Linked DNA regions of Rattus norvegicus. The protein of the gene in region 2 purifies or fractionates together with the protein of the main gene of each other region. This does not show direct contact. Links are inferred from orthologs where the notes say so. Each region holds a gene or a part of one and is shown on either strand. Other genes may lie near its edges. The genes, in order: Atg2b, Hdac11, Gcfc2 and Paxbp1.

The links.
Region 1: the proteins of Hdac11 (region 2) and Atg2b purify together in Homo sapiens (co-immunoprecipitation; 3 studies listed by BioGRID and IntAct, counting the BioPlex papers as one, with this or other methods). This does not show direct contact. The link is inferred for Rattus norvegicus from reciprocal best matches to the Homo sapiens genes HDAC11 and ATG2B.
Region 3: the proteins of Hdac11 (region 2) and Gcfc2 purify together in Homo sapiens (co-immunoprecipitation; 3 studies listed by BioGRID and IntAct, counting the BioPlex papers as one, with this or other methods). This does not show direct contact. The link is inferred for Rattus norvegicus from reciprocal best matches to the Homo sapiens genes HDAC11 and GCFC2.
Region 4: the proteins of Hdac11 (region 2) and Paxbp1 purify together in Homo sapiens (co-immunoprecipitation; 3 studies listed by BioGRID and IntAct, counting the BioPlex papers as one, with this or other methods). This does not show direct contact. The link is inferred for Rattus norvegicus from reciprocal best matches to the Homo sapiens genes HDAC11 and PAXBP1.

What each region holds. Positions count from the first base shown.
Region 1 is NC_086024.1:130,310,134-130,317,633, reverse strand, and holds part of Atg2b (autophagy related 2B), read left to right. Parts: intron 1-778; coding exon 779-936; intron 937-1,246; coding exon 1,247-1,419; intron 1,420-1,957; coding exon 1,958-2,108; intron 2,109-3,524; coding exon 3,525-3,724; intron 3,725-3,873; coding exon 3,874-3,954; intron 3,955-5,913; coding exon 5,914-6,020; intron 6,021-6,461; coding exon 6,462-6,554; intron 6,555-6,969; coding exon 6,970-7,040; intron 7,041-7,448; coding exon 7,449-7,500. UniProt on the Homo sapiens protein: Lipid transfer protein required for both autophagosome formation and regulation of lipid droplet morphology and dispersion.
Region 2 is NC_086022.1:125,204,006-125,212,135, reverse strand, and holds the start of Hdac11 (histone deacetylase 11), read right to left. Parts: upstream 4,809-8,130; 5' UTR 4,739-4,808; coding exon 4,737-4,738; intron 4,731-4,736; exon of another isoform or gene 4,705-4,730; coding exon of another isoform or gene 4,634-4,704; intron 4,575-4,633; exon of another isoform or gene 4,272-4,574; intron 4,184-4,271; coding exon 4,035-4,183; intron 2,441-4,034; coding exon 2,340-2,440; intron 1-2,339. UniProt on the Homo sapiens protein: Responsible for the deacetylation of lysine residues on the N-terminal part of the core histones (H2A, H2B, H3 and H4).
Region 3 is NC_086022.1:116,057,368-116,064,867, reverse strand, and holds part of Gcfc2 (intron Large complex component GCFC2), read right to left. Parts: intron 6,411-7,500; coding exon 6,287-6,410; intron 5,142-6,286; coding exon 5,060-5,141; intron 4,672-5,059; coding exon 4,559-4,671; intron 2,672-4,558; coding exon 2,472-2,671; intron 527-2,471; coding exon 376-526; intron 1-375.
Region 4 is NC_086029.1:43,772,034-43,779,533, reverse strand, and holds part of Paxbp1 (GC-rich sequence DNA-binding factor 1), read left to right. Parts: intron 1-412; coding exon 413-516; intron 517-1,368; coding exon 1,369-1,586; intron 1,587-2,094; coding exon 2,095-2,284; intron 2,285-5,992; coding exon 5,993-6,116; exon of another isoform or gene 6,117-6,133; intron 6,134-7,500. UniProt on the Homo sapiens protein: Adapter protein linking the transcription factors PAX3 and PAX7 to the histone methylation machinery and involved in myogenesis.

The DNA.
Region 1 (7,500 bases), on a different chromosome or scaffold from region 2:
CGGTGGCTTCTTCATGGGTAAATTGGGTACTGTCCTATGGGGACTGGCGGGAAGGGTCTGCTAAGACTGTGCCTAGAGCAGTGTGCCAGTGAGAGCTGAGAGCTGCCGAGCTCTCCTACCAGACCTGGGGGTGCTTGCTGTTCTGTTGCTTGTTTGTTTGTTTTTAAGATTTATATATTTTATGTATATGCGTACACTGTCGCTGTCCTCAGACACACCAGGAGAGGGCGTTGGATCCCATTACAGATGGTTGTCAGCCACCATGTGGTTGCTGGGAATTGAACTCAGGACCTCTGGAAGAACAGTCAGTGCTCTTAACCACTGGGCCATCTCTCCAGCCTCTGTTGTTTGTTTTTTAAAAGAAGGTCTCACTGTGCAGCCCTGACTGGTCTGGAACTTGCTGTGTAGACCAGGCTGGCCCAAGATTGCTTCTGCCTCTTAGAATTGAAGACATGCTTCATTACACCTCACTGAGTTTTAGTCAGCTTCCACCTTTAAAGTGTCCTTAGTGGGTGTGATTAGGGCTTTGCGTGTGTGACACAGGCAACGCTAGGTGACTGTCTGATCAGGTGTGCTGTCTCAGTCCTTTCTCTGCTCTTGCTCCGGCTCAGCTGTGTTCCCGCTGAAAGCACAGAGCTGCTGTTTTAAAGCCGCTTCACAGCGTCGGTTTCCATTTCTGCTTGAAATCTAAGCTCACTTAGGATCCCGGAAAGGGGGTTTTCCGTTCATCTGTCTCCACTTACGAGCTTCCCGTTCGCCTTGTGCTTTGTGTCTCTAGGATCTTTAATGACTTGCTTCTTTGGGAGCCCACAGCTCCTTCACCAGTGGAGACACTTGAAAACGTTTCCTATGGCATCGGGCTCTCGGTGGCCAGTCAGCTGATAAACACCTTCAGCAAAGATAGCTTCAGTCCCTTCAAGTCCGCGGCTCCCTATGGTAATGCATTTTACATTGGTTCTGATATAAGCCCCTTATTTATAAGTCTGATGTCTCCTCTTCATATGCTCTACTTTGCTTGGGAATGTCTATGACTTCCCCATATCTGGGACTATTCTGATGAGGACTGTGCTGCTCAAATGTGGAATCTCTGGTGTGATCATCATGTACATGTTTGAAATTCCCTTGGAGGCCTGTGTCCCTCATGGTTCTGTCCTGTGTGAAAATGCAAAGTGCTGTTGTGGTCATTGTAAAGTGCTGTCTTGCGTAGCTGTCAGGACCTGTAATAGTAGATCTTTTCCCTGCGTAGATGAAGACAGTGGATCTGAAGAAGAGACTTTGCAGTATTTTTCTGCTGTTGATCCCAACTATCGTTCCCGTAGGAAAAAAAAGTTGGACTCTCAGAACAAGAACTCTCAGAGCTTCCTCTCGGTGCTTCTGAGTATCAATCATGGACTAATGGCAGTGTTCACCGATGTAAAGGTATGCTGCGCACTCTCCTATAATGAAGTGGGTGAAGGTGGGCTAGTGTGGGGGATGGACGCAGTGGTCCAGGATGGCAGAGACTGCAGCTGCTCTGGGAGCTCCTTTCTTTGCTCATCTAAGGCTGTATGGCCTCCCTGTAGAAGGCACGAGCTAATTTTGCCAGTGAGGGCAGTAGTTGTAACTTTTATCTTTCTCATTTTAAAAGAAGGTGAAGCGCAGGTACTTGTTACAGAAGACTTACATAGCACACATGTTATGCAGTGTTTTGCCTCACTGTATCGGGTGGCTCAGGAATCACACTGCCTTATGTGGCGTGGAAGGTTTCCTGAGTTAGATTCAGAGTGAGCATGCGGAGACACATTCTCTCTGCATTTAAATTACGGTTGATGGGGCCTGAAGCTCAGCGACTAAGAGCTCACCTACTATGTGCAACTACTGTGTGCGTTAGGTTCTATCTCCAGTACTAAAATTGAACAAAAGAAACAAAAAGTGACTTATGTCCCCTCCCCCTCCCCCCACCCCGCTGTTTTTTTAGCAAGATAATGGAGATCTGATGGAGAATAAACATGGTGAATTCTGGCTAGAATTCCACACTGGCTCCTTCTTCTGCGTGACAAAGTACGAGGGTTTCGATGACAAGCACTACATCTGCTTGCACTCCAGCAGCCTCAGGCTGTACCACAAAGGTAGGGCAATTGTGCTTTTTCTTTCTTCTGTTTGGCGAGTGAACTTCCTATTTGATGCAGTCTTGAGAATACAATGATGTAAGTTGTATTCTCTTGGGAGTTCTGGTTTTGTGGCCAAAATCATACTTAAATATTAAAACTTTTTTGTTTGTTTTGAGATAAGGTCTCACTGTATAGCCAACACTGGCCTTGAGCTTGAGATTCTCCTGCCTCAGCCTCCCGAGTTCTAGGATTGTAAGTACGCACTACCTCACCTGACTGAAAATTTTGAGTAGTTGTCTGAATTACTCTGAATAGGCACAAAGAGAGAAAAATCTTATTTTCCTAGCATTTTAGAATCTTAGTTTTTTTCTGGTGAGTTTTTGCCTCAGTCATACCAACATGGACAAAGAGAAGTAGGTTGTTGCTGCTAAGCTGGCTTTTTCCCCTGTGCCACTGGAACTGTGCCAGTGTCTGTGGGGATCTCTGCAAATGCACCACCAGCAGAGAAAGTTTAGTTCAACACAAATCAGTAGCCAGTGTGCTTCAAACTGCAGAGTCTGACACTGGGCAGTTTATTTGAGGCAGATTTCAGTATGGCATAATTTGGAACAGTCTCCTGCTGTAACACAGCCCTGTGTGCACAGTGAGGCATAGTTATATTGAAACCCTTCTCAAAGTCCTTGTCATTTCTTCTGTGAAGATGGCATGTATAGATAGACTACATGTGTCATCTTAAGGGCCTGAACAGGATCTGGCATGGTCTTAGTCATACAGAGAGTGCAGAGTTTACCCACCTCCAGTCCTCTTTGTAAGAGTCTGGGGTGCCAGGTATGACCTGGCCTAACAGGTAGCATAGGAGTCACCAGACTAATTAACTGACTCCGTCCCTAGCCTCCTGGGCAGAAAACAGGTTATATATCTCTTCCTTTAAAGAGACAATCCTGTATGTTTAATGTTCCTGCTTTCCTAGTGGTTGTCTATGAGCACTAGGCCCTCTGTGCCCCCAACTAGGTTCAAAGGAATATAGACTTGTCCTGGAAATTATGTCAGAAATGCTCTAAATCGCAGACGTCTCTGATAGTGAGCTGCCACAGTGGACATTCTGTGCCTGACCTCTTGAGATTGGGGCAAGAGCACCAATTGGATCAAGAGCACAGGTGAACCAGAACCGTGCATGAGTGACCTTGAACCTGTTGTCTGGGGAGCACACAGTGCAATGAGTCATGTCCAGAACTGTGCTCTCTCCCTAGTATCTCATTTAATGTATGTGAACATTCCCTACAAAATCCCATCTGCTTCTGCTTCTGAGCATTTTGGGTAAAGCATACTCAGTCTGTTCAGAGAGTCCTGTTGTGAGTTGTCAAAGTCAAAACAGTTGCGGAACTAATTGCAAGTGATCATTTTGTTGGTGTTTTTATCTCAACGTGTATCTAGGCATAGTAGATGGAGCCATTCTCCCTACAGAGACACGATTGCCCTGTTCAACGCGCCCACATTGGTTGGAACCTACAATTTATTCCTCTGAAGAAGATGGCCTCAGCCGAGCTGCCTCAGATGGTGTTGGGGGAGACAACTTGAATATGCTCTCTGTTGCAGTGAAGATACTGTCGGATAAATCAGAGTCCAACACGAAGGTGCGTGCCTTACACTGCTACCTACGATTATTGGTTTGCTTGCTTCCCATTGGTGATTGTATCAGTGCCCACACCTATGTTTTCTTGGGAAGACTTGAGTTGGGGATTCTGTGGATTAACGTGGTTCTTTGTGTTGTCCTGTGGTGCAGGAGTTCCTTGTGGCTGTGGGGCTGAAAGGAGCCACTCTACAGCACAGGGTGCTGCCCGCTGGACTCAGTTGGCATGAGCAGGTAAGAGCTGACACCTGTGTCATGTCCTTTTTTTTTCTTTTTCTTTTTTTCTTTTTTTTTTTTTTTTGGGGTTCTTTTTTTTGGAGCTGGGGACCGAACCCAGGGCCTTGCACTTCCTAGGCAAGCGCTCTACCACTGAGCTAAATCCCCAACCTGTCATGTCCTTTTAATAGCATTTACAAGTCACGACGCCCAGAAGGCAGGTGACTCTTTCCTCAAAATGCTGTCCCGATAGCTTCTCAGTGTCAGCATTGTTAGATCAGTCAAGAAAAGGAGTGCCTGTGGAATGCCGGGCCTGGAGGAGCAGCCAGTGGTACTGAGTGCTGAAAATCAGCAGCTCTTTTTTTTTTTTTTAATTTATTTATTATATACAGTGTAGCTGTTTTCAGATACACCAAAGAAAGCAATAGATCTCATTACAGATGGTTGTGAACCACCATGTGGTTGCTGGGAATTGAACTCAGGACCTCTAGGAAGAGCAGTCAGTGCTCTTAACCTCTGAGCCATCTCTCCAGCCCAATCAGCAGCTCTTTAAAGGCCACAATGTCTGCAGGCTAGTAGTGTGGCTTTGCCCAGGTCATTTCATCAGCATTTTTGCAATTAGTATCCAGTTGAGTCCTCCATACAGAGTAGAGTTAGGGTTCAAAATATTCTCTTTTTGTCGTCCGCCTACCTCTCTACTTATTTTTTCTATGCTTGAGACTAAACCCAGGGCCTCACACATGCCAAGTGTTCTACTGCCCATGATAATACAAAGCCTTAGGAGCTGGAGAGATGGTTCAGCGGTTAAAAGCACTGACTGCTCTTCCAGAGGTCCTGAGTTCAAATCCCAGCAACCACCTGGTGGCTCACAACCATCTGTAATGAGATCTGTTCTCTTTTGATGTGTCTGAAGACAGCTACAGTGTACTTATATATAATAAATAGATAATACAAAGCCTTGCACTGGACCCCAGCAGCACAAAAATGCAGCAGACATCCAGGACATAGAGATAAGGAAGCTGAGGATTTCCCTGAAATTCCTATTTCCTTAACTCTACCTCCTGCGGAAACCAGAGTTTTGAAAAGTCATCTTCAACAAAGTTCCTTCCAAGAATTGTTTTGGACAATATGTCAATTGTATTATTACGCATAGTTTTAATTTAATAATATTAATTTCATTAGATAAGGCTTTCTCCCATCCGGGCACTAAGTACCAGCCAGTCCAGCCCTGTTTAGCTTCCAAAACTGGAGTAGATTGAGAGTGTTTAAAGTGGCATAAGATGGGGTGTCTAAGGTGTCTGGCATTCAGTTACTGGATGTGACTCTTCATTCCAATTCAGCAAGTACTTTAGCCTTGTAATTTGTGTTACTTCTGGGACACAGCATCAGGCTGTGGTAAGAACACACAGTAAGACATCAGGCTGTGGTGAGCACACACAGTAAGACATCAGGCTGTGGTGAGCACACACAGTAAGACATCAGGCTGTGGTGAGCACACACAGTAAGACATCAGGCTGTGGTGAGCACACACAGTAAGACATCAGGCTGTGGTAAGCACACACAGTAAGACACCAGGCTGTGGTAAGAACACACAGTAAGACATCAGGCTGTGGTAAGCACACACAGTAAGACATCAGGCTGTGGTGAGCACACACAGTAAGACATCAGGCTGTGGTGAGCACACACAGTAAGACACCAGGCTGTGGTGAGCACACACAGTAAGACACCAGGCTGTGGTAAGCACACACAGTAAGACATCAGGCTGTGGTGAGCACACACAGTAAGACGTTTGCTATAAGTAGGTCAGTGCATCTCTCCTCTTAACATCCCTGTCATGCACACACTTTCAAAATGAACTCCTTCAGAATGACAGTGTTTTCTCATAGCACCCTAAGTCACTCTGTTCCATACTTGTTAAATGTATTCTAACAAAATGTTATTTCTTGTAAAGCAGGTATTATGTTTTTGTGATTGTAGATTTTAAACTTCTTGAATATTGCTGATGAACCTGTCTTGGGATATAACCCTCCAACTTCATTTACAACCTTCCACGTCCATCTTTGGAGCTGTGCCCTTGACTACAGGTGAGACCAGGACAGTTTTATTGATAGCACTGATTTTAGAACCACCAAGCTAGGTTCATTTCTCGGGATCCATATCACCAAAGAGAAGAACCAACTGCCCCAGTTTGTCCTTTGGCTTCCACACACACACACACACCACACAGCCACACACACATATGTAAGTAAATAAAGTGTAATAAAAATTAACACATTGATTTTTGGATAAATAATTCTACCTGCTGTGGGGTCGCACTGTAGCTCCAATACTTACCAGGCTCAGGTAAGAAGACTGAAGATCCGAAGCCAGTCTGGGCTCCATAGTGAGATCCTGTCACAAAAAACCAGAATCCTAACAGGACAAAGCAGAGCCCTCCAGCAATCCCATAATTGTCTAGCTGAGTTGATCGTGTGTTCGGAAGTGCTGCAGCAGGCTGGTAACCTGTTGCTTGTGTTTGCTACCAGGCCCCTTCACCTGCCCATCCGATCCCTTCTCACTGTTGAGACGTTCAGCATCTCTAGCAGCGTCGCCTTGGACAAATCTTCCTCCACTCTCAGGTACCTGTGACTCACCCTGCAGCGGCTGCTATTCAAACACATCAGCTGGAGATACAGGGCTCCCTTACCCAAACTGACTTAGTCATGCTTCCTCAGGGCTCCTTCCTCAGGGCTGTGCTCCTCTGCTCCTCTTGCTGTCCATTTCCACTTTAGGGGAGGACTTTACCCCTAGACTCTCAGGTGGCTGTTTAGGCCCTTTGATTGCTTTCCTAGTACCAGACGTGTGTTATCTCTGAAATGGAAACCTTTAGACAGGGTTCTCAGAAGCCTAAATGACCGTGCTTTGGCACCTCCATGTCTTTTGGGCTACACAGGTTTACAGGTGAGGCACTGAGCGTGGTGTGGTGAGGTGCTGATGGCGCTGTGCTAGTCCTCGGAGCTCAGTTTTGCAGATGCTGTTTCTTCTCTTTCCCAGAATCATCATGGATGAGGCTGCTTTACACCTGTCGGACAAGTGTAACACCGTCGCTATAAACCTGAACAGAGGTGAGGTCAAGGCAAACTCGGGTCGATTACTGTTGCTGGAATGTGGGAATGCAGTAAAGCAGTTTTAGTAGGGAGTTGCTTTGGAAAGGTGGGCTCTTCCTAGGGAACTTTTAACAGATGCTGAAATGTGAAATATTTGCAACAACTTCAGGTTTCAGTTTGAGGTCGCAATGTGCTAATGGTGTTAGCTGTGTGTTTCTATACAGTCTAAATATCTATTTAATATTTAGTCACCTGTTGTAGCTGAAATTACGTGAGGTGTCAGATGAAGTCAGTGAGTCCAGCCTGGCTGCACCTCTCACACTACCAGTCCTGTGTGAGGGCCAGGCATGGACTTTAACAAAGGTTAGGTTTTGATTGGATAAGCAGTTTAAAAAACACTACAGTAAATATTGTATTAAATCTTAGATTATGTTCGTGTGATGGACATGGGACTTTTAGAGCTGACCATAACCGCAGT
Region 2 (8,130 bases):
GACTTGGTCTCATCCCTCCCTGAAGGACCCAAAACAGTGTGTACTTGGTTATGAACTTGCTGGTGATGCTCTGGGACAGACATCAGGAGCTTCCCAGCTCTGACCTGCTCCTAGGGACAGGGCCCTAGAATTCACAGCAAATAAAACACAGTAGTGACATAGCCAAGATTCCAGTCTTAATGGGCCCAGTCCTAGGCTGTATACTCACTCCTGCACCTATGTTACTGTTCCCATTTGGTACCCTAGTCACTGGGATGGGAGGCCGCAGCAGTGCAGGCTTCCTATCCTAGGCAGGTGTGTGGAGAGTAGATGAGGCAGCAGGGAGGGAAGACGGTACACAACACCCACAGAAAGACCCAAGAACCACCACCCTGGGAACCTAGAGACCTGCCAGACACCACTTGGGATGCCCACAGTAGAGGGAAGGGACAGACAATGCAGACACGGGGTGGGGGAGGTGTGCTTGAGTTGTACATTAGATAACGGATCTCATCTGAGTGGGTGCATCACTCCCCCACTGCAAACCTGTTCGTGGTACTCAAGATAAAACCCATGTTTCCTCCTCAGCTTTCCAGACTCTCACACAAGACCTGGTGTATTACAAAAGCTATGTTTCTCCCTTTGATCTGGCTCCCACAGAGCCTGGAGCCAACTGTTACATCGCCCATCCTCTTGGTGAATAGCTATGTGTTATGTTGATATAGCTGAGCCACCCCACCCCCACCTCCACCCCACTACCCCCCCCAAACCCCCACCCCATCTCTGCTCTTATTTCCTATTTGGGAATCACAGACTATGCTGCTTCCATAGTCTTTGGGACCCCTGCTCTGTAAGTTTCCCATGAGGTTTTATAAATGGGTGGAATCCTAGTAACTATCCCCCCAGCCTCTGCCTCATCCAGGCCCCACTCTGTTTTGGTCTCTCCCTGTCCAAACTCAGAGCATCTTACCCCTGCCTTCCCCTCCCACCTCTGACTCCTGGCCAGGCTTTGGGCTGTGGACTAATCATGCATGTCTGGGCCCCAGGAAACCAGGGCAGCCAGGCACTGGGCATCTAGCCAACACCTCACACCTCTCTCCTGGGAGCCAGCGTCTTCCTGGCAATCTTTCCCAAGCTCACACTGCCATGGCCTATCTAGAATTCTCACAGCTCAGGCCATGGCTGGAGGGAAAAGAGGCAACAGCTGTGGCCCTAGTCCTGAATAGAGGCCCACAAGGGCCCTCCCCATGTTTAACAGCACCCTGCCCAAGTGATTTGAGGAGGCACAGACTACTCCTGAGCCAAGGTCTTTCCAGACAGAGTGAAGCAGCCTGTTGACTTCTGCCATCTGTAGAGTCCTGAAGCCATGGGCTCTGACAGGAAACTTGGGAACCAGAACTCTCATTCTCTGAGGTAGAGACTCAATGGCACCCTGATGCAGTTCCAGCCAGGGCAAACTAGCAACCATGCCCACCCCCCCACTCCCAACCTGTCACATAAAGGATATATTAAAGACCTTGACTTCCAATAGGAGTTTACAATCTCCTGTGCGAAGAGGCCACGGGCAGACAGTGGTAGCCCAGTGTGGCCTACAGTTGGGATTTAAAAGCTTACCATTAACACATTCAGAATCAGGGTGGGGCTAGGGCTGGAGCTCAGTGGTGGGGTGCTTGCCTAACATGCTAAGTCCCAGTAATCATAAAAACTAAAAACAAAAAACACCCCCCAGAAAATCACAAAGCAAAAAAAAAAATAGAAAAAAAGGAAGAAATCTGAGAATATCATTTAATAAGCAGCATTCTGGCTTCTCTTGAAAAAGCAGGTCCTGTAATCATGTTGGGTCCAGCAGTGCGGCAACCAACCACATGACCCACATGGGAGGGGAAGATCTTCTGCAGTCCATCCCAGACACCTCTATCTGCCCCCACCACCATCTTTATGTTCCCTCCCGAGCCCTGGGGGCATTTCAAAGCCATTTTAGCCCAAGAGTTTTCATTTATAAGGAGGTCTTGGAATATCGTCTCTGGCCACTCCAGAAACAGGACAGAATAAAGTGGCCTTGTGGACAGGACAAGGGCCAATGTCTCCCTCCCACTAAAGCGATGCCAGCAGCGGCCTTTGAGCCCTGTCCAGAGCATAGGCTGAAAGTCACTAATATGCCCAAACCTCTAAGGGGTTCTGTCTGCACACCCCGTCTGCATATACCCTGACAATGGGGAGCTGACTACCCACAGAGATATCTTATGGCCCCCTCCTTATCTTAAGAACCTCCCCTGTGCTGGGGACAGGACCCCTAAAGCTGAGCTTCTCCCCCTCCAGCCACTGCTTCTCACCACAGCCCGAAGATCCTGGTACTGTACCTTCAGCTCGTTGAGATAGCGCCTTGTGTGCACCACCAGCAGGTCCTCCTCCGAGGCCTCCCTCGCCTCCACCAGCATGCCATCAGACAGCAGCTTCTCTTCTGGAACCACAGAGGAAGACCCTGCTGCCTTCCCAGCTCTCAAAGCAGGTCCAGCCTCTAGACCCTCCTCCCTCAGGCTGCAGGCTAGCCCCTGGCAGCCCCTCAGCACACAGTGAACTTGTGGGTTGAGAACGGCTGCCTCCCTAGGCCAGTGTGGGGCACTCGAAACACACAGCCATTTCTCTATTTTCTGTGCTGCTGACGGCCACCAGGTGAACTCAGGTACAGATGGATGACTTCCAGAAGCAGACAGCACAAACAACAGGATTGTTCTCAAGGTAGAAAAAGCTCTTCAGCGCAACTCTCCCTCCACAGGTGGCTCGGGACAATGTGGCCTTTCCTCTGCCTGAGCCTTGAGCATGCCCCTTGCTAACCAAAGGAGAGCAGTGGCTCACAGGCAGCAGAAGCCAGAGCTGCGCAACTGCTGTTTTCAGAGCGCTATCTTCCTGCTGCAACCTTCTATTTATGGCAAGTGAAACTGCCTTTTCCCATTTTGAGGACATGTGTTTCCTTTTAAAACAAAGTTAAGTTTTTGAAAAATCTCAAAGCATCTTAAAATATGCAGTAAACAGAGGAGTAGGTGGTATAGGGGACACCAGGGTGTCTGAGTGGCTTGCAGGGACAGGTTTCTGTATATGGCTACCAAAGATTCATTTTGCAAAAGAAACTGAGGCTGAGAGACCAGACACTTCCCCCAAAGTCCGGTGAGACTGGGCCATGATGCTCTGGTTCTAGAGAAATCAGAATCTAAGGTCTACTGTCAATGAGTCATGCTCAGAAACCAACCAGTCCCATCCACATCTATACAGAGATCCAGGCAGGGGCTTCCTCCCACAGTGTCCCATGGCCTCTGACACCTCCAGACTCAGTCAGCTCCCTTCCTACCTGGGCGCCCAAGGAGCCTGCCCTGTGGTCCTACCTCCCATCCTTCCTCATCCTCAAAGGGACTGGCTGCTCACTCCCAGCTGAGGGGGATGAAGAGCCCTTCTGCTGTGCCACGGAAAGAGGCAGGAGCCCAGGTCAGGGCAGAGAGCACCAGCAGGAAAACATTTGTGCAGGCAACAGACGTGCAAGGCTAGTATCCCAGGCTTACAATAACACCATGCGTCACCTGTGTGCTTTCTAGTCCGTGATTTCCTTTGGATGTTCAGGTCGGTCCCTACAGCGGAGGGAAAAGCTGTACCACTTGCTGTAGATAGGAGGTCACCAGAGGAACAAAAACAAGCCCAACAGAAACAGCTGTGTTATAATGTCTAATTTGATCCTATTTTCTGCACAACGCAGAGCTAGGAGCTTGCTCTAGATTTTTAGGGGGGGAGACAGGGACTAGATCTAACTGGTGGGAATACAAGACAGGGCCCTTCTTGCTTGGCAGCCTGTCTGGAAAGACCCTTTAACAGCAGGGCAGAGGCAGTCTGGGGGCTGAAAGCAGATAAGAATGTGATGAATACAGGGATGGAGGAGGCAGATGCAGGACCGAGGGGGGTGATGAGGACCTGAAGAAGGAAAAAATGGAGAAGGTAGATACAAGTCTGAGGAGGTGGTGAGAACAGGGAAATGGAGGAAGTGGATGCCAGTCTTGGGGGGCTCTTACCTTTCAGGAAGTTGATCACCTTGCCCCATTTCCCAGCATCAAAGGGGTGCAGCTTCTCTAGGCCCATGAAGGTGATGTTGTAACGTGGAGAGTACACGATGGGCCAGCGTTTCTCTGGTACATGCTGGTACAGCTGTGTTGCGTGAGGCCTTCAACGTGCAGAAGAGACGCAGATATAGACAACAGCTTCCTTGTGGAAAGAGTCTCCCCCTCCCCACTCACACCAGGTCACTTAACAACCAACAGGAATGAAAACAGCTCCTTCCTGAACCCTGGCTGGCTTTGACTAAACCAGCTTCCAACACAGTCCTCACAGCAGCTCTGGGAACCAGGTGTGCCCAAGGTCACATGCCAGTGCCAGGTGTATTCAGGAGTTACTGGCGCCAAGGCCCAAGGCCTGTACGGGGGAAGGCGGGGTGTAGGGTGTAGAGGGCTGGAATGTGGCTGTCACACGAGTTAGCTCACGCATCTGTGTTGCTGGGAACAAAACGCGCAGGGGGTGGGGTGGGGGAAGTAGTGCGTAGACCGCGATTGCAGGAGGCTGTGCCCTCGTCGCAGCCCTGCAGCCCACCGCGGTGCCCTGCGGAAGGGAGACCCACCGTTCACCCGCACGGTCACCCTGCCCTCCTCCTACTGTCCCGCCGTGCCCACGGGGATCCCCAGAACCCATGCTTGGTCCCACGCGCGAACCCGCACACTCACATCCCGCAGCCGGCCCTGCCTGCTCTGGACACCACTCCGCACGGGGAGGGTTGGGAGGGGTGTAGCGGGGAGGGCCTACGCAGAACACGCCTCCATAGCGCTGGGAGCTGGGGGTGGAGTTCTGGCCTGCGGCTGCGTCACAGACAACCGGACCGCGCCGGCCAAGGAGACGCACCCAATGGAGTGCCGCCTGGGGGGCGTGGTTATGCGCAGCTCCGCCCTTATTCCCAGGGTAGAAATAGATACTTGCTTAGTTGATGAGTTCTTTGGCTTCCCTGCACTGTGTGGTGGTGAGATGTCTGTTCTGGGCCTATCAGCCCTGCTATATGTTCTTTCCTGGAGTGCAGCCTTCCATTCCTGTACTATCTGTGGCCATTTCACCATGGTATAAGCACTTCCCACTTAATCATAAAATGCCCTGAACCTGTTTCCCTATTGTAGATCAGGTCTGGTCCAGTCGTGTATAACTGAACATTTCTCCTGTCTCTATTCCCCTATACCCTGAACCTGGAAGCTGACCGACAGCTGGGGCTGTCTGTAATGGCTGGAGCCTGGGAGGCCCCAACAATGGAGGTCAGAAGAAGAGACAATGGACCTCTGTTGGTCCAGCTGTCCTCATCAACCAAACAGGAGCAGCTGACCAGAGGAGCAGCTAGGGACTAACATGGCAGCTGGGAGCCCAGGAGCCACAGGTTCGTGTGAAGGGAACCCGCAACATTTGTTGTTTTGATTTTTGGGGCATGAGGCACATGCCACAATGCATATGTGAAGATCCGGAAGTCAGCTCTGGTCGGACAAGTTTTCCCCTCCACCTTTGTGTAAGTTCCAAGGATTGAACTCAGTCTCTCTGGCATGAGCACCAACAGCATGTATTTGCCAGCCAAGTCCTAATGTGGGCTGACAGTTTGGAAGAATGCCTCTGATGTGTCTACTGTTAGATAATTTTCAGAAAACAGGATATAGATTTTCAAAGATGAGATGGGGAAAAAATTGTCTGTAGGAGTGTGAGGTCAGTCAGGAATTACTACCAGCCATGGGTAGTGGGGCTGATCTGGAGAAGACACTGCCTTCAGTTCAGGGGACAAAGGCAATTCATTGTTCTTAGAAGTTTGCGGGAGGGGGCTGGAGAGATGGCTCGGTGTTTAAGAGTACTGACTGCTCTTCCCGAGGTCCTGAGTTCAATTCCCAGCAACCACATGGTGGCTCACAACCATCCGTAATGAGATCTGATGCCCTCTTCTGGTGTGTCTGAAGATAGTGTACTTATATATAATAAATAAATAAATCTTAAAAAAAAAAAAAAAGAAGTTTGCGGGAGTTTCTACACCATGTGACCTAGCCTATGTGCTAGGAGTTACAGAGCTTGAACTGTAGTAAATCAGACAGTGGACTTATGAGTCAAAGCTGCTATGGGCTTGAGAGAAAGAAGGAGCAGCATTTGGTTATTACAAACTGGGAGGGGAGTCTTCCTGATTCCTCTGGTACAATGAGGAATTCAGCCTGTATTCAGCCCAGCCTGGGCCATCTGCCAGCACCCTGGACTTGGAAGGTTGAATCTATTTCCTGGACTTTCAGTGCTACATCTAGAGATGAATGAGGTGATGTTGACTGTGCACCTTCTGGGGAAGCTGAAAAACTCCAAAGATAACATCAGCTCTTACTGAGTGCCAGTCAGTAACATAGTGCTAAGTCAGTCCCCAAAGCCTCATTCACACTGAACTCTAAACAACCCTGGAAGGCAAAATTTTCCCCATTTTATACAAGAGAAACTGGGGCAAAATAATGAAGGCGAAGTCACTTTCCCAAATATCAAGGGTGTGGATAAATGCATAAAACTTAAGGCAAACACACAAGAGACACACAAACACATGAGGCTGGTCTCAGGAGACTCGCTCTGGAGGTTGGGAAGCTGCACAGGTAAGCATCAGGTTAGGAGAACGAGTCAGAGCATTCAGCACCTAGCAGCTGAGGCCCAAGAGAGCAAAGTTAGTCTAACAGCATGAGCTAGGTTTGGTTTTTGTGACTGAGGAAGGAGGTAGTCTGAGGAACACTGGAGACTGTGAATCTCTTCAGACTCTCACAGCAGGCTGAACCACCTGTCTGCAAGGTCACAGATGTGAGAACGAGCTGTGTGATTTGAGTGGTTCGACTTGAGGGCCTCTTTGTTATGGCAGTCTAGCACATCCGTTAAGACCCAGCAACAGGGCCAAAGCTGTGCATGCAGTAGACAGAGCAGAGAGCCTCAGCCAAACCCAAGGGCTAGTGGGAGAAACCAAGCATTTGCTTTTCAAAACACATATGGGTTTTTGCCTTTGTTTACGTCTATGTACCACGTATGTATGCAATGTCCACAGAAGCCAGGAAAGAGCATCAGATCCCCTGGAATTGGAGTTGTTAGCCACCATGTGGACGCTAGGAATTTAATGCCAGGCCTTCTGCAATAGCAGCAAGTGCTCTTAACCACCAAGTCATTTCTCCAGCTCTCAGGAGGGGCAGATCTTTTAAAAAGGACACAAAAATCATAAGTTCTACATGTATTATTGCAAAGTGTACAAGCTGAGGCTCCGAGGCCCAGGTTCACAGCAACCACAGAAGGCTGCTTCAAAGAGGTGGCTTTTCACTTTATAATGTCGTCGTCGTGATAGGACATGGACTTACTGAACATTGTATGTTTATTATTCTTTCCCTTTCACACCATTCACTTTACCTTTTAATTACAATGAGCAAGAAATGCAGGTGTAGCTCCATGGTAGAGTACTGGACTTAGCATGGGTTTGATACCATCAGCAACGTCAGCACCAGCACCACCGCCATCACCACCACCACAACTACCCCAATCTGAGTACAGAATTTTCTGTGCAATGTTTAGGGGGTAGGGGTTGCAGGGGCTCCCATACGGAGCTTTCTGACAGCTACCAAGCTCAAGCAAGTCTAAGCTGGTGGCACTGCTGATTGACAGCCTGCCCGCCCCAGACTGAACTGACAAGAAGAGAGCCAAATACACCTGAGGCAGGGAAGCAGGCTGCAGATCCTCAAGGAGCACACTGTTGCCTTAGCAACGTTGCCATAGCAACGGCAGCAACGATTGGCTCCTGGACATTGCAGCAGTTTCTGGTGCAAAGGTGATCAGAGCATTGCTATAGCAACCAGAAACTGAGGAAACTAGGTTTGACAGCTCAGTGCCCACTTCCTTAACATCATGGTGAGGGACGTGGGACCTGTCGACCTAATTAAGAACACTTTAAGTCTGGGAAGGCTTTCTCTTTCTCCTCTGGGTTTGACAGCTGTACGCTGATTGGCCCCCATTTTGTACCTTATTTGCGTGTACATGTTTTCAACCAATCGGAGCTCAGCTGTCCCTGTTGCTGTGTGGAGGAACTCTGGAGGGGATAGT
Region 3 (7,500 bases), about 9.1 Mb from region 2:
AGAACCCCAGAAACATTCTCCATGTTCTCCTGCTCCCCTGTACAACAATGCATCCTTCAGCACTCCCTGGGACTGCTGTCTTCAGAACACACAGAACCGATGTTCCCTAGCCATAGGATGGATGGCTCAAGCACAAGAGTTAAAAAGAAAACCATTGTCTAGAATAAGTCCTTCCAAGTTTAGCCAAGTTCAAAACACATTTCTCTGGAATATGTAAAAATACTCTGGTCAAATACTACACTACTACTATGACAGCCAACATTTGCACAAACAAGCATTTTCCAACCAGGTCAATCTGAAATCTATTGCTCTTTAACACACACAGTATTTCCTGTATCTCCAAAGTTCTAACAGAATCAAAATTACCAGGGATACCTGTGAGGCGGGGAACAACTGTTTTGTTGATGACAGCAGACAAGATTTTTTTATCGGAACCATCTTCTTTTCCTACATCTTCCATGCCGCTCTCCATAAACTCTGTTATGGCTGTGAACCAGGGCATCCTGTCTAGACCCATGGAGTCCATCTATAAGATGAGATAATAAAAGTTTTACATTCTTAAATGTGTGTATTTTCTAAGTTAACTTTTTCCAAAATTCCTAGATTTTTCCTAAGGCTCAAAGAGAATAATCATGTATTTTAATACTATGTATACAGCACTGAGGCAGAATAACTAAGAACTGTGTTTCATGCATTCATCTGTACAACAAAAATGCGGCAGTGGCCCACTGTGCGCCAGGACGTTCAGAGACCAGCAATGGCGGCTCTCTGACCGGAGTGAAATAACATCTTTGAGTTAGGCATTTGGAACTGCTACAGAATTCACTGGTAAAATTCATTCAACTGCCTCAAGCAAAATTGACTTCAGTCCTTTCACTTAAGAATAAATGTGTAATGTGCATGTGGTTTAGCTTGTTAGCCAATCAGCAAACAGCAAAGGCTATTACTATTTGTAGATCAATGAAATGCCAGAATGGCTAACCCCAGGTGCTGCCCACACACTCCCTAACAGTTCCATAGCAATGACCTTGCTCTAACTTGGGACGGTGCTGTGGTCCCAGGAAGCCTGAAGACACATGCGTAAGGCCAAGGAAGAGACACTGACACTCTCCACCATCTTCTCTGTAAGCTCGTGCTGAGAGCTTTCCTTACAGAGCTCCATTCTTCAGCGCAGGATCCAGGCCTTGGAGGGTCTGCACATGGAGAGTTAGAGCTCCTCCTTATTTTACTAATTCTTATTTTGTGACACACTTATAACCCAGCATCCCTTTGTCAGGCTCACCCTGAACTTTGATTATATAAATAGTCTTCTATATTTTATTTCTCTTTCTTCCAGGTTAACTACTTCTAGTGGCTTCCTAAAACACTACTTTCAAGTCTCTGAGATGACTTGGATGTAAAGGTACTTGCTGCCAGGTCTGATGACCTAATGTGGATCCTTGAGACTCATATAATGGAGAGAACCAACTCCCATATGCTGACCTCTGACCTCCACATGCATGCCGTGGCATGTGTGTACCCCACCACACACACAAATACATGTAATAAAACATTTTTAAAACTCCACATTCCCACCAGGTGGTAGTGGTGCACACCCTTAATCCCAGCACTCAGGAGGCAGAAGCAGGCAGATCTCTGAGTTTGAGGTCAGCCTGATCAGTCAGTTCCAGGACGGCCAGGGCTGTACAGAGAAGCCCTGTCTCAACAAATAAAACAAAACATAACAAAACAAATAAACAAAAAACAACTCCAAATTACCTTCTGTATATCACGCTTACTACTGTTTTCAAAAATGAGTTATCTCCAACCTCATAATCCTCAAAACAGGTTTGCAAGTCAAACTCAGTACTACATAATGTTAACCAAACTCAGTATTACATAGTTCTGGGGACATTTCCACACATTGCAAAGGTATTAAAATGTGTTTGAATTATTAATGTTTGGTCTTCTATGCCTTTAGAGCAAAAGATGGCTGGGGATGTAGCTCAACGGTTTGATGATTGTTTAGCACATAGAAGGCCCTAGGTTTTACTCCAGCTTGTCTCTGTCTGTCTGTCTGTCTGTCTGTCTGTCTGTCTCTTTCCTTACCACCCCCCACCCCCGACATCATGTAAGGGTCCCAGGCAATACAGTTCAGATAAATTTCTAGACAGTTGTTCCAGGGCTCTAAATTTTATCTACAACTTTAAGGGCAAATGATTTCATTTTTACTTTGTAATGATGTTTATTTACTAATCTGTGCAAGTGGGAGATGGCATGTGTAGAAGCCAGAGGATAACATGTGGAAATTAATTCTCTCCTTCTATCACATGGGTTTCAGAGTCCAAACCGAGGCCATAACCCTTGGCAGCAAGCACTTTGTATACTGAGCCATCCTGCCAGGCTGAGGTTGTGATATTTTAGACCTAACCTGACAGCAAGAGCAAAAGCAGCTGACATGACCAGGACAGTCACATGTTAAACACTGATACCTTAAGAGGATTCCAATCAAGCAACTGAACTCGTATCAGGGGACTTAAAAGCTTTGGTAAGCAGAAACCAACGAAGGCTTCGTAGTAGGAATCAGGAAACTTTTCTCGCCACTGCTGAAATTTCAATAAAATATTCTGGACGTTACAAAAATCATCATGCACATCTTCAAAAACTTTCTTACAATCCTGTAAAATGTCACCTGCAAACAAAGTAAGTCTCTTTATGTTATGCAGTTTAAGCCTGTTTCTTACCAACAGTCACGAGTTGCTACTTAACCAGCTGGGCTGGGAAATTTTCTATTTCATATATTCATTTTATTTAAAGTCACTTTAATACTGAAAGTCATATTATTGATACTAAGAAAGCGTACCATGTATTGAGTACCTGTCTATATGCCAATGTACCATACACTCACTGTCTCGTTTCATTACCATTGCCCTCTTCCCTTTAAGGCAGAGAAGATACATTGATTTAAACAAAGCAGGCAGGCAAACAACTGAACTGAGGCAGGCAAGGAAAAAGGCGCCTTTCCTTTGGATCTAGTAAACAGCAAAGCCCAGAATCTTTTAAAGAGCTGCACTACCAGCCTTCTCAGACCATTGTAAGTAGTTTCACTCATCAGCAGAGTACTCAGCCCACAGAACAGGAGAAAAGCCTGACCGGCTGTGCTCAGACACAGGCTTAGGATCTAGAACTTACCAAGACCCACAGAAATTAAAAACCAAGGAAACGAAACTGCCCAACAACAAGTGAGCTACTGAACTGAACAGTTTCAAAAGAAGAAAATGAAAGACCGATAACAAGTTTTAAGGCTGGAGAACACCCCAAACTACTGGGAAGCACAAATTAAAACTACTTTGTAACTCTACCTCACCACAGTCAGAAAGGCCATCAAAAAACCCAGTAGCCAATGCTGGAGAAGATGAGGGAAAGGAGCCTTATTCACTGGTGGTGTCTGCTTGGAGGTTCCTCAAAAAATTAGAAATGGCCCAGCAATTTTAATCCTAAGCACACACCTAGAGATCTCCATACCCTACCACAGAGATCGGCACCTTGATTTCTGATGCTCTATAGCCGGGAAATGGAACCAACCAAGGAGCGCGTCTTCATCTGAGCTGACACTGAGAGCCTGGTGTATGTACAACATGGAGTGCTCTTCAGTGCTAAGGAAAGACAGAATCACGAAGTCTGCATGCAAGTGGATGAACCTAGAATGTATACTGGTAAGAGTCATCCAATGTCAGGAAGAACCTGAGACCTTCTGTTCTGTCTCCTGTACAGATCCTAGCCTACACTGCACAGATATCGAGTGCAGGTACAGTGTATCATTTAGAAAGGAGAGCAAGAAAGGGCAACATTAGGGGATAATAATACAGGTAAAGGGCACGCAGCTGTGAAAGAGGACACAGAGTTACATACATGCCTTTCTAGTGTCAGTTCTATCAGTTTCTTCCTTTGTGTGTGCATGAGTGCACGTGTGGTGGACAGGTAACGAAACGGGAACTAAAAGGATACAGAGCCCAAGTCTTAGTACTCCACACCAATTCAAGGTGCAACAACTCCAATCAATCACTGCCACAACACTCTGAAGGACAGGCACACTGGGTCCTGCCCAATCTGTCCAACAGGGGCATCTACACCTCTAATAAACCTTACAAAAACAAAACGAAACACCTTGAAAAACAAAAGGTGACTGATGGTGAAAGTAAGAAACCTAAGAGGCTTCAGAACCACCGTGCTGGCTGCAACATTCACTGAGATGCACTGCTGGGTTTGAGGGTTTAATCGGCTTCGTGATGCCTTTAAGGCGAGTTCATCACAATCAGCCTCAGTGACTTAGCTGTTTAGTTGCAGATGGTACAACATAAGGAAAGGGCAGTCACAATGCCCACTGTAACCCAGCAGCAGCCAAGAGCCGTGGGAGCAGCTCACACCGCCCCCTTTCCAGAGGCAGCCATCTTACAGGAAGATGTTTCCACTTTCCTTGAATTTTCCTGTTTTAGTAATATAGATTTAAAAGCAGACACAACAAAGCCTTCCTCGTTATTTCAACATTTCAAAATAGGTTAGAATCTTGGCAATTGACCTTGGCGCTTGTGGAAGTTAGTCATCTCTGCAGGAGACAGCTCTTCATCACTGGATGTCCCCTCCTGATGGTCACAGTTGCCCGACAGCACCCTTGCCTGTCTTCTCTGCACCCTGTGTTGTGCAATAAAGTAATCACAATGTTACTATTTTATAGTGACACGTCACCGGATGGCACCATGTATGTCACTACTCTCAGACACTCTCTGCTTCCTCAGCTGCTTTGGTTCTAATGCCCCGCTTGGGTCATCCTCTGAATGTAAAGGTTCCTTAGGGAGAGTCCACTAGCTAGAGGTAGTTTCCAGTTCAAAGCAACCCTCCTAGCAATGGCCACCTCACCGACCCTCCTGAGCCCAGTCTGTTTCTGAGCGGGAGGCCAGCGGGACTAACTCAGCTGTGGGTTTACATCACGCTCGAAAACTGGGACTACCACACAGCTGATTCTACGGAAGTAGTGACAAGTCCTTGCTCAGTGTGTTAAGTCTGCACTTCAAACACATACCTTCGAGCTTCAATCTCTTCTAAAATCCGTTGATCCTTTTCATCCAGAGCCAAGCTTCCACTTGCCAATGTCTCATCTTTGCCTGTTAATTCACAAAATTAGCTTTGTACTAGTCTCAAAACAGTGAATCACTGAACAGGTGACTTCATGTGTGTACAAGAACACGTAATGTCTCATAGTGTACATTTGTTATGCCACAGAACGTAACGCCCATTACCTATCAGTATTCACAGCCATCAAGCCCACTGGCCTTGCTGGTGTATGTCATTTACCAGAGCAGGTGTCTCTCTTTTCGAGCAGTTTCCCCGTTTCCCCCATAGTCGTGTACTAGAGATATTTACACCACCAACATCGTACTTATACTATGGCCTGTCCATTTCAGCACGTTGCAGTGTTTATAACTGACCAAATGTGGGAGGGAGCTTGACAGTCACTTCACTCTTGTCAGCCACACCACACAGGATCTCCTTCCCTAAGCATCGTGCTAAGACACAAGTGCAGCGGCAATATGGTGTGAGGAAGCTGAGAGCCACTCTTTACCAACTCTGCTGAGACCCACCAGTTGTGCAGCCCTTCACCTACAGAGCTCAATTGCTGGGGAGTCATTTCCAATTACTCTGCTTATTGAATGGCACATAAATACTCTGTGTCGAGGGGCCGGGGGAGATGGTTCGGCAGTTAAGAGCACTGGTTGTTTTTCCAGATGACCAGGGTTCAGTTCCAAGCACCCACAGGAGCTTTTAAGTGTCTAGTCTGCCAGGCCCAGGGAAACTTACACCCTTTTGACCTCTGAACACTCCTGCACACATGGTAATGCATACATAACTAGAAAAATATACTTAAGACAGAAGGTCTGTCTGTATGCAAGCACTGTATGTAGGGCACTTTCTTAGTTAGTGATTCATGGGGAGCACCCAGCCCATTGTGGGTGGGGCTATCCCTGGGTTTGGCTGAGGAAGTAGGAAAGCAAGGTAGTAAGCAGCAACCCCATGGCCTCAGCATCAGCTCTGCCTCCAGGTTCCTTCTGTGCTTGAACTGCTACACAGAAGTGTAAGCAAAATAAACCCTTTCCTCCCTAACTCACTGCTGGTCATGTGCTTCTTCACAGCAATAGTAACCCCCACCCCAACTAAACAGCTTTTTTTAAAACACAGAACTCTAAAAATATTTTTATTCTCCATATGGCAATTCAGCTCAACAAGTGATGAAATGTAATAAAACACTAACGTGATAACTGTTGCAAATATGAGGATTCACATTTTAGCTCATCTTGCCTGCGTTTCAAAAGTGCTTCTGAGTGTTTTAAAAGCAGTGTGTACATGGATGACTCTAGTTCCACAATGCTGCTAATCTGAAACACAAAAGCCAAATTTTGCAGTTCATCAATAATAAATTATAAAAAGGATTAAAAAGCATTATTTGTAATCATATGTATACATTCAATTCTTGAATAAATAGTTCCAATATCAGTGCAAGTATCACACATTATGAAACCAAATGATAAGGGGTGAGGAGCATGTGCTTGAGGGATGGGTAGAAGGAAGGACTTTGTCAGAGAAAGGTGAGGGGGAAATGCAGACAGACAGCAAGGAGATACTAGAAGAAGCTGGTAAAAATCTGAAAAACTGAAGAACGGAGCTGGGCTAGAGCTGAGTGTACAGTGCCTGCTGAGCATGTCGAAGGCCCTGGGTTTGAGTCCCGCAACAGAATAAACTTCATAAAATGGAAGAGAGTCACTAGGGACAGAGAAGAGGGCTATGCTCCAGAATGTGTGACTAGATGAAACTGGACTCCTCCTTTTTAGGGAGCAGTTATGTCATTCTTGAGGCTTACTGCTGCTTCCAGGGATACAGGCAACCCCATGTAGGCTGGTATGATTTTAAAAGTGGAATTCAAGGACGAATGAAGAGAAATTTACACTTAAAACAAACAAACAAACAAACAAACAAAACAAAAAAAACCCAGAAAGCAAATACCAAATGACACCGTGTGATAAAGCAATATTTTCTGGATAAAATAGATATAGGAAGTCAAATTTAACTACTTTAGCAATCTTTTTCTCTTAAAGTTCCGGGGTTTAAATAAAGTGCCTTGCAAAAAGGTAATAAAGGGATCCCATGTCAGGACTGAGTGTTCACAGAACACAGAGGATCCCACATCAGCACTGAGTGTGCACAGAACACAGAGGATCCCAAGTCAGCACTGTGTGTGCACAAAACACAAGGTGAAATGAAAGATTTAAAAATCTGCTAGTGTAAAAATTTTAAACATACAACTATTAAAACCATCACAAACAAAAGTATAAATTTTAGATCATACTGAATAAGCATTAAACATTCTAAAGTAGGGGCTGAAAAAGAAATGACTCAGTGGTTAAGAGCACTGGCTGCTCTTCCAGATCAATTTCAGTTCCTAGCATCCATATGGAGGCTTACGACCAT
Region 4 (7,500 bases), on a different chromosome or scaffold from region 2:
TTCAGTACTTCTGGGTGCGAGTACTAAGGACTTCCTGTGCATCAATTTGCACAGCTCTCTAAGGGCTCTGAAGCCATGCGTTTCGTGCTTCCCATTATAGAGTTGATGGTAAGCTTAAAAGAAACTAAGAAACTGGGGCTGGGGATTTAGCTCAGTGGTAGAGCGCTTACCTAGGAAGCGCAAGGCCCTGGGTTCGGTCCCCAGCTCCGAAAAAAAGAACCAAAAAAAAAAAAAAAGAAACTAAGAAACCAAAGATTGCAAGAGAAACATTAAATACTATTTTAGCATTAAAGATGGTTGCCATTATTAAAACAGGAAAAGTCAGGAGAATGAACCAGACCAAGCGGACATGTTAGCACAGGGCCTCCTCCTCCCTGCTGTTGGATGCTGATCTCTCTTGTTATGGCCTCAGGTATTGAGGGGAGTGACGATGATGCCTTAGTAACTGGAGAGCAAGACGAAGAGCTCAGCCGCTGGGAGCAGGAACAGATTAGAAAGGGAATTAACATCCCTCAGGTAAGAAGACACTTCAAGAGTGAAAACAAGCAGACTGGATTTGTTGTTGTTGTTAAAGTGGAGAGGACCACAGTGAGTCTCTCCTCTCGGTCAGGTGTCACAGTTGGAATTGGCGTGTGGTCCTATATTCATCGGGTTGTAGAAGAAACTATGTCAAAGTTTGCTTTTTATAGTCAGACTGGTGGACCAATGTCCAGTTTCTCCAGCTAGTTCTCAGCAGCAGGGTGGGGAATCCCCTTTTAAGGTACAGAGGAGCGAGAAGGTGGAGGTTGGGCCCAGCACTCACTTAGCAAGTTTTCCAGGTGATTCTGTCACATGCTGAAGCTTGAGAAGGCTACCTTGAACCACATGTTTGTGTTTTTGTTGTTGATGTTTTAATTTTGAAGATGGGTTTCCTGGGTATGCAAACAAAGAGTTTGATAAAACCCCCTACCAAGATAGTTCCAGTGACGTGTTCTGTAGCAGCATGGAGAAAGAGCATAATGTGAGCATTTTTATATGTAGTGTTGGTAGTGTCGGTAGCAGACTGACTGTAACGAACTTTGGAGTGGCTGAAAGAGTCCTGGTTGTAAACCAAGTCACTTTTCCTGATAACACCTTACCTGGATCCTAAACTTTTTTCCATTTCTAAACTCTGAGAGACTATTTTTCTGAAAATCATTAGAAATAAAATGAGTGATTTTACCAGGACCCAAGAATTATACAACCCTATGTTTATTTGATTTTGAAGAGTATTGCAGTTATTATCTTAATTCCTTTCTGGGAACTGGATATAATTTTTGCTGTTTGTGTTCATAACTAAAGGCATTTATTTTTTAAATTAGTTTTCTTATACATTCACTTTTTTTTCAGGTTCAAGCAAGTCAGCCCACTGAAGTGAATATGTACTACCAGAACACTTACCAGACAATGCCTTATGGTGCATCCTATGGCGTACCTTATAGTTATACAGCCTATGGATCATCAGATGCCAAGTCTCAAAAATCAGATAACACAGTCCCTTTCAAAACTCCCAGTAACGAGGCGGCTCCCATTACTATTGATTTGGTAAAGAAACAGCTTAAAGACAGGTAGGGCAGATCAACTTCTTAAAGACCTGTCTGCTAGCTTTCTGGTCCCTCAGGCAACCTGTAGTCTGGGTAGCAGATGCAGAATGCCGGCAAAGAAGACTCACTGGCCTATCTTCACAAGCTAATCAGAAGATGACTTCATGCTCTGCTCTGCTACCTTCAGGAGTACTTCTGTGGAAGCCTCAGCGTTATTAAAATGCTGCTCCCTGAGCTTGTCGAAGACAGTGCTGAGTTTTCACCTCTTGGACTCTGAAAGTGTAGCCAAGAGATGGGGGGAGACCCAAAGCAGAAGATTTTGGTTAGCCCACCAAATAACTATTGGAAGTCTAAACTGCCTTTTTAAATTTATTTTTTATTTTTATAAGAAAAGCAGTACAGACAAAAAGATGCATTCCAAGTATTTTCATGTTCTAATACTGGAACTAAAATGCATATAATATTGCAAGAGTCCTGACAGCATTGAATTCTAGATGTAAATGTGCTATATTTATCCTTTTGTGTTCTGAAGGTTGGACTCCATGAAAGAATTGCACAAAACCAATCGACAGCAGCATGAAAAACACCTGCAAAGCCGAGTGGACTCCACCAGGGCCATTGAGAGACTAGAAGGGTCTTCTGGGGGCATTGGTGAACGGTATAAATTTTTGCAAGAAATGCGAGGGTATGTCCAAGACTTGCTTGAGTGTTTCAGTGAAAAGGTAAGAATGCAAAAATAATAATCTCTTTGAATAAGGCAAAAATAGGGAGACCTAGACGGCCTTTCATAGAGCATCTTATAGTTCCCAGAAAAGAATGCACCCAGCTTTAGAAGTGCTGAAGTCATGCTCCATTTTCTTTACATCATAGTTGAGGGCAACACAGTGAGTGCTTCAAACAAATAGAGAGAGACTGTCTCAGAGTGCATGTTTTCACACTGACAAGTCCTGTCTCAGTACCATGTTAGTTGCTGGTCTGCACTGGATTGATAGAATAAAAGGGATTCACCTAATAGTGTTTTGTTTTTATGATTCAGGTCTAATTTCACTTCTACACTATTTTTTAGTAGTTCTAAACATTTATAAGTAGTGCACTATATGACAGGTTTTTGCTAGTTAGTTCTGCTTTTTATGGTGGTATTTCTGTTAGTTTTTGTCTAAGCCAACGCTTCATTCATTTCAGAAGCCATTCATTATGTTTTTATTCATTGAACATTTCTCATTTCTGAATTCACTGCTCTAGTATGACAATTGACAAAATCTTTTGAGTATATTTAAAAACGAGTTGCATACGCTAACTTCTCAAGTAACTTCCTGTTTGTTCTAAGATAATTCTCCATACATATCATGCACAGATATATAACATAATAATTTAACATTAGAAGGTGGGAGAAAGAGCGGCAAGATGGCTGAACAGGTAAAGGTGCTTGCTGTTGAAGCACCCTGTGAAGTGGGAGGAGAGAGTGGGCCCTCCTTCCACCTAGGTGTCCTCTCACCTCCACACACAGGCAGAGGCATGAGCACCCCATACATCATGCTTACACACCATCATAGGTAAAACTTAAGGAAAAGTAGATATCTAGCTTGATGGGCTGGTTTATAAGCATTAGTTGGTGTATTTCACCTCAGCTTTAAAAAATATTAAAAGTATGGTCCTTACATTTTTTTTTCCAGAATCTTGGCTAGGAAGGCAATTTTTCTTTATTATTAACTAGGTGGTTGTTGTTGTTTCTTTTGTTTCAGTAGAATCTATAGAAAGTATGGTTGGATGTTGGCTTCAATACAATAAAGCCAAAGGTTAAGGAAAGTGCAGTTAGACTTGTCTTCCTGATGGGTCTTGGTTCAGTTGTGTGTGGTCAGATGGGACCATTCGTCATAGCCTCCCCAGCACTTTGCATGGTGTGAAGTATTGTCCAGTGCCCGATGCACCTGCAGTTGTCATATCGGTTAGTTGCTTGGGGCCAGGAAGGAAACATGAGTTTAGATGTTTCAGCAAGACTGGAAGTAGGGCCTACGTGTCAGAGCACCAGAATAAGGTCCTTTCCTTAAACAGTGCTGTATGTGTGGGCATGGGCTCTGGGACCTGCTTCTGTAAGTGTCTTGGCTTTGGCTTTATAGAACTTACAAACGTAAGCAGTCAGGGTTGCAAGTGTGATGCTAAAGTGGATAGCACTGCTAGCTATGCTACCCTAGATTAAGAAGAGTTAGGACACAGTGTCTGCTTCTGTTACTGGTTCATTACTGTGCTTCCTCTTCTGCATACCGTGTTCCTGAAGAAGTCTACTTCAGATAGTTCTAGTTGGCTATAGAGTCACTTAGATATGTTGTACCAGATCTGAACCCTTACATATTGAATATATTTTCAGGAAAAGGAGCAGATAGTCCTGTATTTCAGAGATGTGTACTTCATTCTTACACCTTCACATGCATAGAGTCAGTTGTGTGTGCTTCTGATGAAAATGTCATGAGTTGTCACCCTTATGATGTTTAAGATAACAATTTTAAATTAGGGATAATTGGATAGGTATGAATGTTATGTTTAGTTATGCTGAAATACTCTTTCAGAGTAAGTTAAATATTCTCCTCTTTGTGAAGTTAGAGTGCTTTTTAAACTGAAGTTGTCTGTTGGTCATTTTAACTTGCACAGCTTAGTTTCCCTGTCAGTCATCTCTTTTTTTCATTTACATTTGCTCCTAAATAAGTTTAGTGATAGCTTGTAGTTTTTAAAGGCTAAAGAAACTGTCATGGCAGACTCTTTAGATAAATCCATGTTGTGAACTTTGAAAGAGATAAAAAATTGAAACTTAAGCTTTAGTTCCCAGAGTTGTCTTCTGAGTTTTAAAAAAAGGCACTCCAAGTTCCTAAATGAGATAATTCTTTACAGTACCAGGACAGGCTCGAGCCTGTAGGGAATGCTTTATCTATGACTAAGGACACATTTCAGTACCTTCGAATTTACTCTTGCAGGATTTCAAGAAGAACATTACTAGTTATAGATGTGCAGTCCAAGCCACAGTGATAACAGCAGCAATTGGGAAATAAACATTTCAGATTAGGTAGTGACTTTGGACTACAGAATAATCATTGCCGACTGGGGACATGCTTGCCCATGGTCTGGCATATTAAAGAACAGAGGACCTCCTGCAGCCTGACCTTTCTGTGAACATTTGCCACACTGGCAGTGGAGTTCTGCAAGAATGAAAGCTTTTCTTACAGGCATCTGTGTATCTTACCTGGCTTTTTATTTCCCAGCTACGGGCTGTCTGGTCTAGGAAAATGCTGTAACACTTGGTGCCAGTTTTCTAAACGCTGATTAGTGTCTTTTCCCAATTACCAACCGCCAGGAAACATGAATTTCTGGTTTCCTTGGGTTACATATAGTGGTCCTCTGTGTTTTGTGGAAGTTTCATAGCATTTGGTTGTTTAGTAAGGTATTTATAAAGAAAGATGTTCTGGTTTTTGAAATTTTAGATGCCATGTTCTGAAGTCTTTGTATTCATTTTGTACTAAGTAAACTAGATAAGTATATTAAGTTAGAAAATTTTGTTGACCTTGAAAGCTTATAATTTATTTGAAGATTTTATTATAAAATAAAAACTCAAACATTTGCTAGGAAGAGAAATTTCAGTTTGATTTCAGACTGGCTAGCAATAGCTAGACGTTTTATTTACCTTTTTAGTTTAATTGTAAGATGTACAATAACGTTGCAGAATAGTGTAATACTATTGTAGGGTATGTTGTATGAGTGAGTGGCTGAACAACTTTTTTTTTTTTTTTTTGGGGGGGGTTCTTTTTTTCGGAGCTGGGGACCAAACCCAGGGCCTTGCACTTCCTAGGCAAGCGCTCTACCACTGAGCTAAATCCCCAACCCTGGCTGAACAACTTAAAATAGACTAGTTAATAGCTCAACAGTCCTTTAAACCAGGAAGTTTACTAAATGTGGTGTGTGTCTGGAATTGCATCAGTCAGGAGGAAGAGTCAGGAAGCCAGCTAGGGCTCATATCGCCCTAGATCAGGTGAAACTACATAGACTTCATCTTCAAAACAGAAAGAGAAACCTATAAAATTTGCCATGTGGATCATGTTGCTGGATAATTAAAATATAAATTTGTAAGATATATAAATACTCACATTTTTCTAACCATAAAGCCTGATCTCTCTACCTGTTGTTCTTATTAACACAGAAGCCTTACATTTATTAAGTTAACTTTTGCTCCGATAACCAGGCACTGGACATTTTGCTTTGTACGTGGGTTGAAAAAGTATTGCTTCCTGACTTAGAGTGACTTGCTGTTCTGCTCTTGTTGGGGACGCCTGCTTATTTTGTCCATAGAGAGAGTACTTTTTCAGAAAAGCGGAAATAGCATGGAACCCTCAAATGCGGACATGGCTGAGGAGTTTGGTGTTACGGAGTGTGTTGTATTTTTACAGGTGCCGCTGATTAATGAACTTGAATCAGCAATACATCAGCTGTACAAACAGCGAGCTTCCCGCCTTGTCCAAAGACGACAAGATGATATTAAAGATGAATCTTCGGAGTTTTCAAGCCATTCAAGTCAGTCCATCTTGAAGGTTTTTATTTTTCATTAAACAACCTTGTTTACTTAGTGCAGCCTAATTGAAAATTACAGACCTTTTTCTTTTAAAAATTTTCCTTGTTCATAAGTTAGGTAGATCTAAAAATTGTAATGCATGTACTTGGGTTATGTTTAAGAAAGTATGACCTAACCAAGGAGCCAAATACTGTACTAATATTCTATCCGTCTCCTCTTCCCTGGATGTGCTTTTCAGTCAGCCCTTAGAACACACAAACACATGGTCAGCATTATCCTAAAGCCACTATCTCTCTGGCCCTAATTGACAGCCCACCCCCACCCCAATTGCATTCTGCTCATGACACTGATAAATACTGTTTTGATCACAGCAAGAGATACTGAATTTAGGGATTTGGAAGTTTCGGGGAAAGGAGCAGGGAGGAGGTTGTGTTGTGTGACACGTGATAGCTTCAAAATCAGAGGAGTTGTTGCCACCCTGGGTAAAGCAAATGCTTTTGTATTTCTTTTAAAAGTGCTTTGTTTCTAGTTCGCTGTATATTACATGTTGTATATATACAGTTCTGGAAATTTTGTGAAAATTGTAGAAATTGAATTGCATTGTTACTTATGACATGAATTAAGGGAAAAAAAAAAACACCAAAATTAATGGAAACCTTTTCAATTCCTGTAGTTGAGATTCTTCAGCCAGATGCCTTAGAAACCCTTTTAATCATCTCCCTCATTGCATTCCATATCCTTGGGTGGTTTGGTGGGAATTTTCTTAGTGAAGGTTCCTCGTGCTTTCTTTTGTCCTTTCTTTGTCCCTGTGCTAGCAGTCTCCATATGTATCATACTCCATATGTATCTGACGTGCTCATTTAAAATGCAGATCTTCTGGTCCCATACCTGGAGATTCTTCCTAGGGCCTTCCTACCCAGAAATCTGCATGTTAAACAACTGCTCCTAGTGATTGATAAAGGAGCGTTGTGCTGTTCTTAGAACAGTGCATAGCCTGTCTTCCCCGTCAGCTACTGGATCCATGGCAAGCATTCTCCTGATGTCTGATGGGGTGTGAGAGAGGCATAAAGAGAAAATACTGCGGCACTCAGATCTGACCCCTGCAGATTCAGCTGTAAGCCATATGAATGGCTTTGGCCTGGTTTTGCTGTAAAAGTTTTAAGTTACATCATTGACTTCGGGCACGCACCTAAATGACTAATGCATGCCTCCCAGATCCCTTTAGATTCAGAGAGCCAGATATCGGGGGCAGATTACAGGTAACCATTGTACATTTAAACGTACGTTGTACGTTTCCTTTTAAGTTTAGTGCTGTGAGCTCTGTAGCACATTGACTGTCCTCACTGTTTACAATTTATTCTTCATAGTGTGGGGCTGGGTAGTTAC